Sus scrofa: one gene and its partner. The main gene of each other region encodes a partner of the protein of the gene in region 2 in a complex. Links are inferred from orthologs where the notes say so. Each region holds a gene or a part of one and is shown on either strand. Other genes may lie near its edges.

What was found.
Region 1: the proteins of CLTC (region 2) and DLGAP5 are in contact, whole or in part, in a crystal structure (PDB 7ZX4), measured with the Homo sapiens proteins. The link is inferred for Sus scrofa from reciprocal best matches to the Homo sapiens genes CLTC and DLGAP5. Residues at the interface, in NP_004850.1 of Homo sapiens: Val50, Arg64, Pro65, Ile66, Ser67, Ala68, Leu82, Lys83, Ala84, Thr87, Gln89, Phe91, Ile93, Lys96, Ser97, Lys98; in NP_055565.3 of Homo sapiens: Gly833, Asn834, Leu835, Ile836, Thr837, Phe838, Ser839, Pro840, Leu841.

What each region holds. Positions count from the first base shown.
Region 1 is NC_010443.5:184,547,229-184,551,242, forward strand, and holds the start of DLGAP5 (disks large-associated protein 5), read right to left. Parts: upstream 2,801-4,014; 5' UTR 2,640-2,800; intron 851-2,639; 5' UTR 850-850; coding exon 612-849; intron 1-611. UniProt on the Homo sapiens protein: Potential cell cycle regulator that may play a role in carcinogenesis of cancer cells. Mitotic phosphoprotein regulated by the ubiquitin-proteasome pathway.
Region 2 is NC_010454.4:35,873,380-35,876,890, forward strand, and holds part of CLTC (clathrin heavy chain 1), read left to right. Parts: intron 1-405; coding exon 406-674; intron 675-1,235; coding exon 1,236-1,397; intron 1,398-3,511. UniProt on the Homo sapiens protein: Clathrin is the major protein of the polyhedral coat of coated pits and vesicles. Two different adapter protein complexes link the clathrin lattice either to the plasma membrane or to the trans-Golgi network.

The DNA of each region.
Region 1 (4,014 bases), on a different chromosome or scaffold from region 2:
ACTACAAGGATTAATTCTTTGCTTTTCCAAGAAATGCCCCCATTGGTAAAGTATCCTTTTGTTTGTACTTCAATCAGTTCTAATTTTATGTCCCTTGTCAGTTTGTCTTGTCAATAATTATCTTACACAAGTTCTAGAAGTAAGAACTTTAGGAATCCTGTAAGGCAGTATAAGCTAAAAAGTGTTATAATATGCCATAGGTGAATGGCTCAAGGGACAGTCACAGCCTTTACTCGGAATAGGCGGTATTTAGCTGTAGAAAACACCAAGTTATTTAGAATAGTTTCCATTCTTCTGGCCAGAGTTTTGTTTTTTGTTTGTTTTTCTTTTTTGTCCCCACCCCCACTTGCCCTGGGGCCATATGGAGTTCCCAGGCCAGGGATCATATCTGAGCCACAGTTGCAACCTACACAGCAGCTGATGCAACGCTGGATCCTTTAACCCATTCTGCCAGATGGGGAGCTTACCTGTGTCCTGGCACTGTAAAGATGCCACCAATGCTGTTGTGCTGCAGTGGGAACTCCTGGTCAGAGTTTTTGTTAAGCTCAGATAGTAAACCAAGTTTTATTCACTCTTCAAGGCACTGAAAATTACAAGAGACCTTTACTTACTTGGCTTGACACCGGACTTTTCTGGAACAAGCTCTTGAGATGTCTCATGTAATTCAAGAATGCTTCTACCTTCCAAGGTTGGAATGTTGACATCTTTCAAACCAAAGTGTCTATTTCGTTCATATTCCTTATGTCTGTTTTCTTTCTGAGACAATGATTTCCTATGAGCAATTTTAGTTCTAATCATGTCCGTACTTAAATCCTTTCTATGTCGACTGGCAAAATGTGATGAAGACATCCTATTAGGAAAAAGAGAGAAAAATCAACTTACATGGAATCTCATTTTTATTATTTAAAAAATTAAGATTCTAGTTCACATCCTATCCCACATCAGTAAAAATGTTAAAATACAAAAAAGAATAAACATGTGACTGAAGAGTGGGAAAGAGGTTATCAAAAGACAGTACAACCCAGAGTTCCCGCTGTGAACTAGTATCCATGAGGATTCGGGTTAGATCACTGGCATTGCTCAGTGGGTTAAGGATCTGGGCATTGCCATGAGCTGTGCTGCAGGTCGCAGACACGGCTCAGATCTTATATTGCTGTGGCTGTGGTGCAGGCCAGCAGCTGCAGCTCTGATTTGTCCCCTAGCCTGGGAACTTCCATATGTCATGGATGTGGCCCTAAAAAAAAACTCTTTAATTAAAAAAATTAAAAATTAAAAAAATTTTAAAAAGATACTACAACCTATTTTGGGGTTCTGAATGAGAACTTGCATGACAGATGATGGCGAAGCCCAGGAAGCCAAGGTCTGGAATATAAACAAGAAGTTCCAGGCTTACCAGAGAGAATGATGCAAAACAGAGTATGAAGTAAAGATGAAAACAGGGAAAAAAAGTGAAGGACAGTATACAGAACAGTTTCCCTAACTTTCTCCTGGTGATGAATGCAGGAAGGCTGACATTTCTTCTCAAGCCGAAAACCAAAACAAACACACAAGATACCTATTATATAGGTAGAAAGAATAAGAAAGACGATGGCCTGAGTTCCAAGAAACCATGGGTCCAGCTGAGGAAAGGAATAAAGAAAAGTGGAAAGTCTACAGGCATCACCCATACAGCTGGTATAGAGAACAACCAAGCCTAACTGGAGAATGAGGGCTGAGTCTCCAAAGAAAAGTCTTGTCAGATTAAAAAACAACAACAACAAAAACAGAGGATATGCCATTAGAAAGTTTCAAAAGATATAGGCACACTATACTCTTCAATAACAACAACTAAGAAAGTCCACTGGAATCCTGAAAGAAAAATTGCACAAGAAATGCAACAAATTAAAATGTTACATGATTTTAAAGCAGTCAACGAATATTTTTTTTTTAAATGACCTGGATGCTAATAACATTGTCATTTCCTGTGACAAAGGACTGTGCTTCTTTTTTTTTGAAAAATGAAGAACTCTACAATTAGATTTTCCAATTGCTGAAAATATCAATTTGCTAAGAAAGATTTTTAAATTTTAAAAAATATGTATTAGTTATTTTAAAATACAGCATAGCACCATATACAGAACTGAAAGTATATTTAATTATCATATAAACCCTAAAAGGTAGTTAGTATAATTACCGTTATACAGATGAGGTAAATTAACTGCTCACATGAGCGCAGCTGAAAGGTAGCAGTTAGAATCCCAAACCAGGGAGCCTGGCTTCTTCACAGTACATCCAAGTTCAGTCTTTGGCTGACTGGAGTTTCTTCCAGCCAGAAAGCCTAGAATGCCTCAGTCTTGGTTGCTTAGAGGCTGTCAACTGAGGCATTTTTAGTTGTCACAGAATCTGGAAGGAGCTACAGGAATAACGACGGGCCAAATGCTAATTACGCCCTGATGGTAAAATGTTGACTGCTACAGAGATAATAGGAACAAATATTTACTCTTCTGGAGGACTGTGACATCAGCTTGGGAAAGACAGGTAACACCGTCGTAAGAGGCGCCTCCCCTGAGCCGCGCGCGTCCAGCTCGTAGCCGCCAGTGCTGACCTTCTAGAAAGAAGCGGACCGGCGCCTTCCCTTCAACTCTCCAGCGTCCACTTACCTGAGGCAGATTTTAACGCAGAAACCTCGACCAAACTAAAAGTGAAGAAACTCTCCGGGCCTAAGAGACCACCGCCACCTCTGAAGAAGAAACGCCCTGAGCCCAAGACTCAGCAAAATTCAAACTTCCCGCACCAAGCCTCTGATTGGAAGTATTTTAACCAATGCTTCCGGTAAAAATGCCCGCCTCTTCCCTCCGACGAGGCTTCCGATTGGTTCGCTCCCGCGATTTTTGAATTGATTGAAAGGGGAACGGACGGTTCGGAGGGAGGGCATGAGCGGAATCAATGGATGCTTCCGGATAAGCTCTAGTTGAGGGGCTGAGCAGTGGGGGTCGCTGAGGCCGTGGGAGAGCTGGAGTGGCTCGTGTTTTCCCCGGGCTACTCCGAATTCGCCCTGGAACTCCTAGGGCCTCGCGGGTATCAGAAAGGACAAAGGAGCTCAGAAGAAGAAAAGGGAATTTAGAGTTTGCAGGACTTTTTAATATCTTTTTAAAATTATATAAGCCCAGAAGAATTATTCGAATATGAACGTTTAGAAAAGCTTAACGCTTTAATGAAAGGGTTGTATTTTTGTTTGTTTTTTATTTTTCCAGGGGGGCGGAGGCCGCAGGTGTGGTATATGGAGGTTGCCGAGCTCTGGGCCCTATGGGAGCTATAGCTGCTGATCTGCACCCCAGCCACAGCGAGGGCGGGGGTGGGGTGGGGTGGAATCTGAGACTTGTCTGCGACCTGCATGAAGCTCATGCCAACGGATCCTTAACCCGCTGAGCGAGGCCAGGGAAGAATACTAGTCGGTTTAATTTCCACTGAGCTGCAAAGGGAACTCCAAGAAAGGGCTTATTAACACTCCATATTTCTCTCTACATCTTTTAATGTTCCTTTTCAATGTTAGCAGCCTTTTTTCCCTCATACTTTTTTTTATAGAAGTAAAAACTTTAAGCATTGAAAAGCATAGTGGTTTTAGTATAAGATTTGATGAGTTTTGCTAAGTGTAAACAACAGTGTAACCACCACCCAATCAGGATAAAAAGCATTTCCATCACCCAAGAGCTCCCTCTAGCGCCCCACCGCTTCGACTACCACTGTTCAGGTTTCTATCACCGTAAGAATAGGAGTAGTAGGTACACTTCCCTGTCTGCCTTCTTTCTCTCAGTGTAATTGAGTTAGGAGGTAAATGGGCCCCTGGACTGAGAAGAGCTGGGACTTGTTTCTCTTTGACACTTCAAGGAAAAAGTTAACTGCAGGACCTGAGCTCTGCTGGAGTAGAAAGATAAGATGACCACTTCAATCACTGCTGGGGTCAAGGGGACCTCCCGAATTAACACGCGTGCAGTAAGACTCCTAGGGGTCAAAAAGGGAGGGGATTCCAGGCCA
Region 2 (3,511 bases):
TTTGTTCGTTCTCTGTACTATCACTCACTAACTTAGTTTATGGGTAAGCATCCTTAAGTAAGAAGATCGCAACTTGTTTTCTGTTAAGTGAGCTGTTCTTTAGACTCATTTTTAGTTGGGATTTAGAGTTCTTTGGAAGTCATACTATCTGTTTAAAATGTCTTTATTAGAGGTGATAGTTTTGCCTCAGATTTAGATGTCAATTGTTTGCTCATTCTCAGCTATCCTTCAGTGATTGCTGTTCTGTCAGTGTGACTTCTGTAGTTGATTATTAGTCTCATGATAGAAACATTTTGTTTGGAAGTTGCAGGTTTAGTTGTTGCAGAGATAGTCTAGTCTAACTAGATATTAATTTATCCTGAACTTTGCTTTCTTGGTGATTCATAATCTTACTTTTGTTTTTAGCTGGGAAAACTCTTCAGATATTTAACATTGAAATGAAAAGTAAAATGAAAGCCCATACCATGACTGATGATGTCACCTTCTGGAAATGGATCTCTTTGAATACCGTTGCTCTTGTTACGGATAATGCAGTTTATCATTGGAGTATGGAAGGAGAGTCTCAGCCAGTGAAAATGTTTGATCGTCATTCTAGCCTTGCAGGGTGCCAGATTATCAATTATCGTACTGATGCAAAGCAAAAGTGGTTACTTCTGACTGGCATATCTGCACAGGTAACATTTTTAGTTTCTAATAAAGAAAATGTCTAGAGAATTAATGTGCCCAGAATGTAGTTTATTTTGAAATTAGGTCTTCTTTGCAAATCTGGCTTATTTTAGAAGATGTTTTTCCCCTTTCTTTTCATTTTTAAAAACTAAAGGTTGCTGGCTTAATTCCGGTATACTAACGTATATTTCAGAGTATTCTTACCAGGTGTTCTTAGGTCTTATTTGCATATTGAGTGGATATTGAGTTCCTGTATGAATGATTTGGAATTTAGTGTGGATATTTACTGCAGAATGAGTATTCCTGTATCTTTTTTCTTTTTTTTTTTAAAGGTAATGTAAAGAGATGGTTGTATATAAGGCACATTTTAAACATTCATGTTAAGCTTTAATAAGATAATGTTTGCAGCTAAATTATGAATTAAGAGGTATCAAATCTACATTAAGAGACTAACCAGGAGTTGTAAATCTGTCTAAAGATAATAAAGCATTCCAGTTGTTACAGTAGTTGATGAATCTGGGAGTTGGTTCATTGGTTCCCCAAACTTTATTCTGTTTGATCTTTTGCAGCAAAATCGTGTGGTGGGAGCTATGCAGCTATATTCTGTAGATAGGAAAGTGTCTCAGCCCATTGAAGGACATGCAGCTAGCTTTGCACAGTTTAAGATGGAAGGAAATGCAGAAGAATCAACTTTATTTTGCTTTGCAGTACGGGGTCAGGCTGGAGGGAAGGTAAGTTTTGCCTTTGGAAATTATTTGAATGAGAAATTGTCTTCTGTCTTTCTGCTTCTAATTGATTTGTCATCTAGTTTCAAAGTCTTGTTAATTTTTTTACCATTGATTTGTGGTGACTTAATTTGTTTAAATTCTGTTTCAGTAGTGATGCTTGTCTGAAATGAATATTCCTTATTTTATACAATTTTTTTGTATCAGCTGTTTATACTAAGCTTTATTTTCATTGTCTTTACCAAAGGCCTTAACTCGATGCTTTTCACCTTTAACTGTGCTTAAGAATCAGTACCATGGAGTTCATTTCGGGCTCAGTGGTTAATGAACCCGACTAAGATCCATAAGGGTTCAGGTTCGATCCCTAGCTTCGCTCAGTGGGTTAAGGATCCAGTGTTGCCATGAGCTGTGGTTTAGGTTGTAGACTCGGCTTGGAGGTTTTATAGCTGTGGCTGTGGCGTAGGCTGGCAGCTAGAGCTTTGTTTCAGCCCCTAGCCTGGGAACCTCCACATGCCGTGGGTGCAGCCCTAAAAAACAAAACTTAAAAAAAAAAAAAAAAAGAATCAGTACCATGGCTAAGATGTACGTTTGTGTGCCTACTGTTTAGAGAGTGATTCAGTAAGTAGAGCTCATAATGTCTATTTTAACTGCTCTAGGTGACTAGGTAAAATGTGGACCGCAATTTCCGTACTATTGCCTTATTAAGTCAGAGCTTCTCAACCCTGACTATGCATTAAAATCACCTGGACAGGAGTTCTTTTCGTGGCTCAGTGGTTAGGAACCCAACTAGCAACCACGTGGTTGCGGGTTCGATCCCTGGCCTCGTTCAGTGGGTTAAGGATCTGGTGTTGTCATGTGCTGTGGTGTGTAGGTCGCAGACTCAGCTCAGATCCCGCGTTGCTGTGGCTATGGTGTAGGTTGGCAGCTACAGCTCGGATTGGACCCCAGCCTGGGAACCTCCACATTCTGCGAGTGCGGCCCCTAAAAACAAAATCACCTGGACACTTTTTTGGGGGGGGGCGGTTTGCCTTTTCTAGGGCCACTCCTGCGGCATATGGAGGTTCCCAGGCTAGGGGTCGAATCGGAGCTGTAGCCGCCAGCCTAAGCCAGAGCCGCAGCAACGTAGGATCCAAGCTGCGTCTGCGACCCACACCACAGCTCATGGCAACGCCGGATCGTTAACCCACTGAGCAAGGCCAGGGATCAAACCTGAAACCTCATGGTTCCTAGTCGGATTCGTTAACCACTGAACCATGACGGGAACTCCTCACCTGGACAAATTGAAGTACTTAGTATGTTAGGGTTTTTAGTTGCAGACAACAGAAACAAGGTCTGGTTGATTAGAGCATAAAAAATTTAATGAAAGGATAATGAATAGTTTACAATAGCCAGGAAGGCTTAGAACCAAACTTGGAAAATTGGAAGGATTAGGGGAGAATGTCAACAGCCAGGGCCCCAGCCACAAGTCCTGCTACAGAACTCTGAGGACCTGCTCTTGCTGTGATTGCAATGCTGGATGCCAGAGTTAACACTGCTGCCCCTGGAAGCTCAGTTTGACGTTCTCATTGCCATAGTAGAAGCTCTGAAGTCTTAATATTTTTCCATGCTAAGTAGTTTTTAAAAATCAAGAGAGAGATTGTTTAAAATATGGTAATTGATAGCCTCTGAGCTGGGAGGAGACATCTACACAGAGGTAGAATTCTGCCTACATTTCAGAGTAAGAATCCTCGAACCAAGTATTGCAACTACCAGCCTCTCAATACGACAAGGATAGAAAACACAATTCAGATGTTTAGATCTGAATTGAAGGAATTTAAACAAAAAGACAAATAGGTGTTAGAAATTAGATATATTACGACATAAAGCTGTGACTTTTTTGAAAACTCCTGGAAAAAACCTTGCATATCATTTTTATAGTATCTGAAAACCAGTTTATAAGTCTTAAGCCTACTTGATATAATGTGCTATATATTTTGTAGTCTGCCATGGTATTTTAGAGAAGACATAATTTTTTCAGTATGGCTACTCGTCCTAATTAAGGATGAGACCTTATGACTTTTTGGAACTGAATTATTTTTTTAGTCCATTCCTGACATGACTAAGCAAAATAAAAAACACTC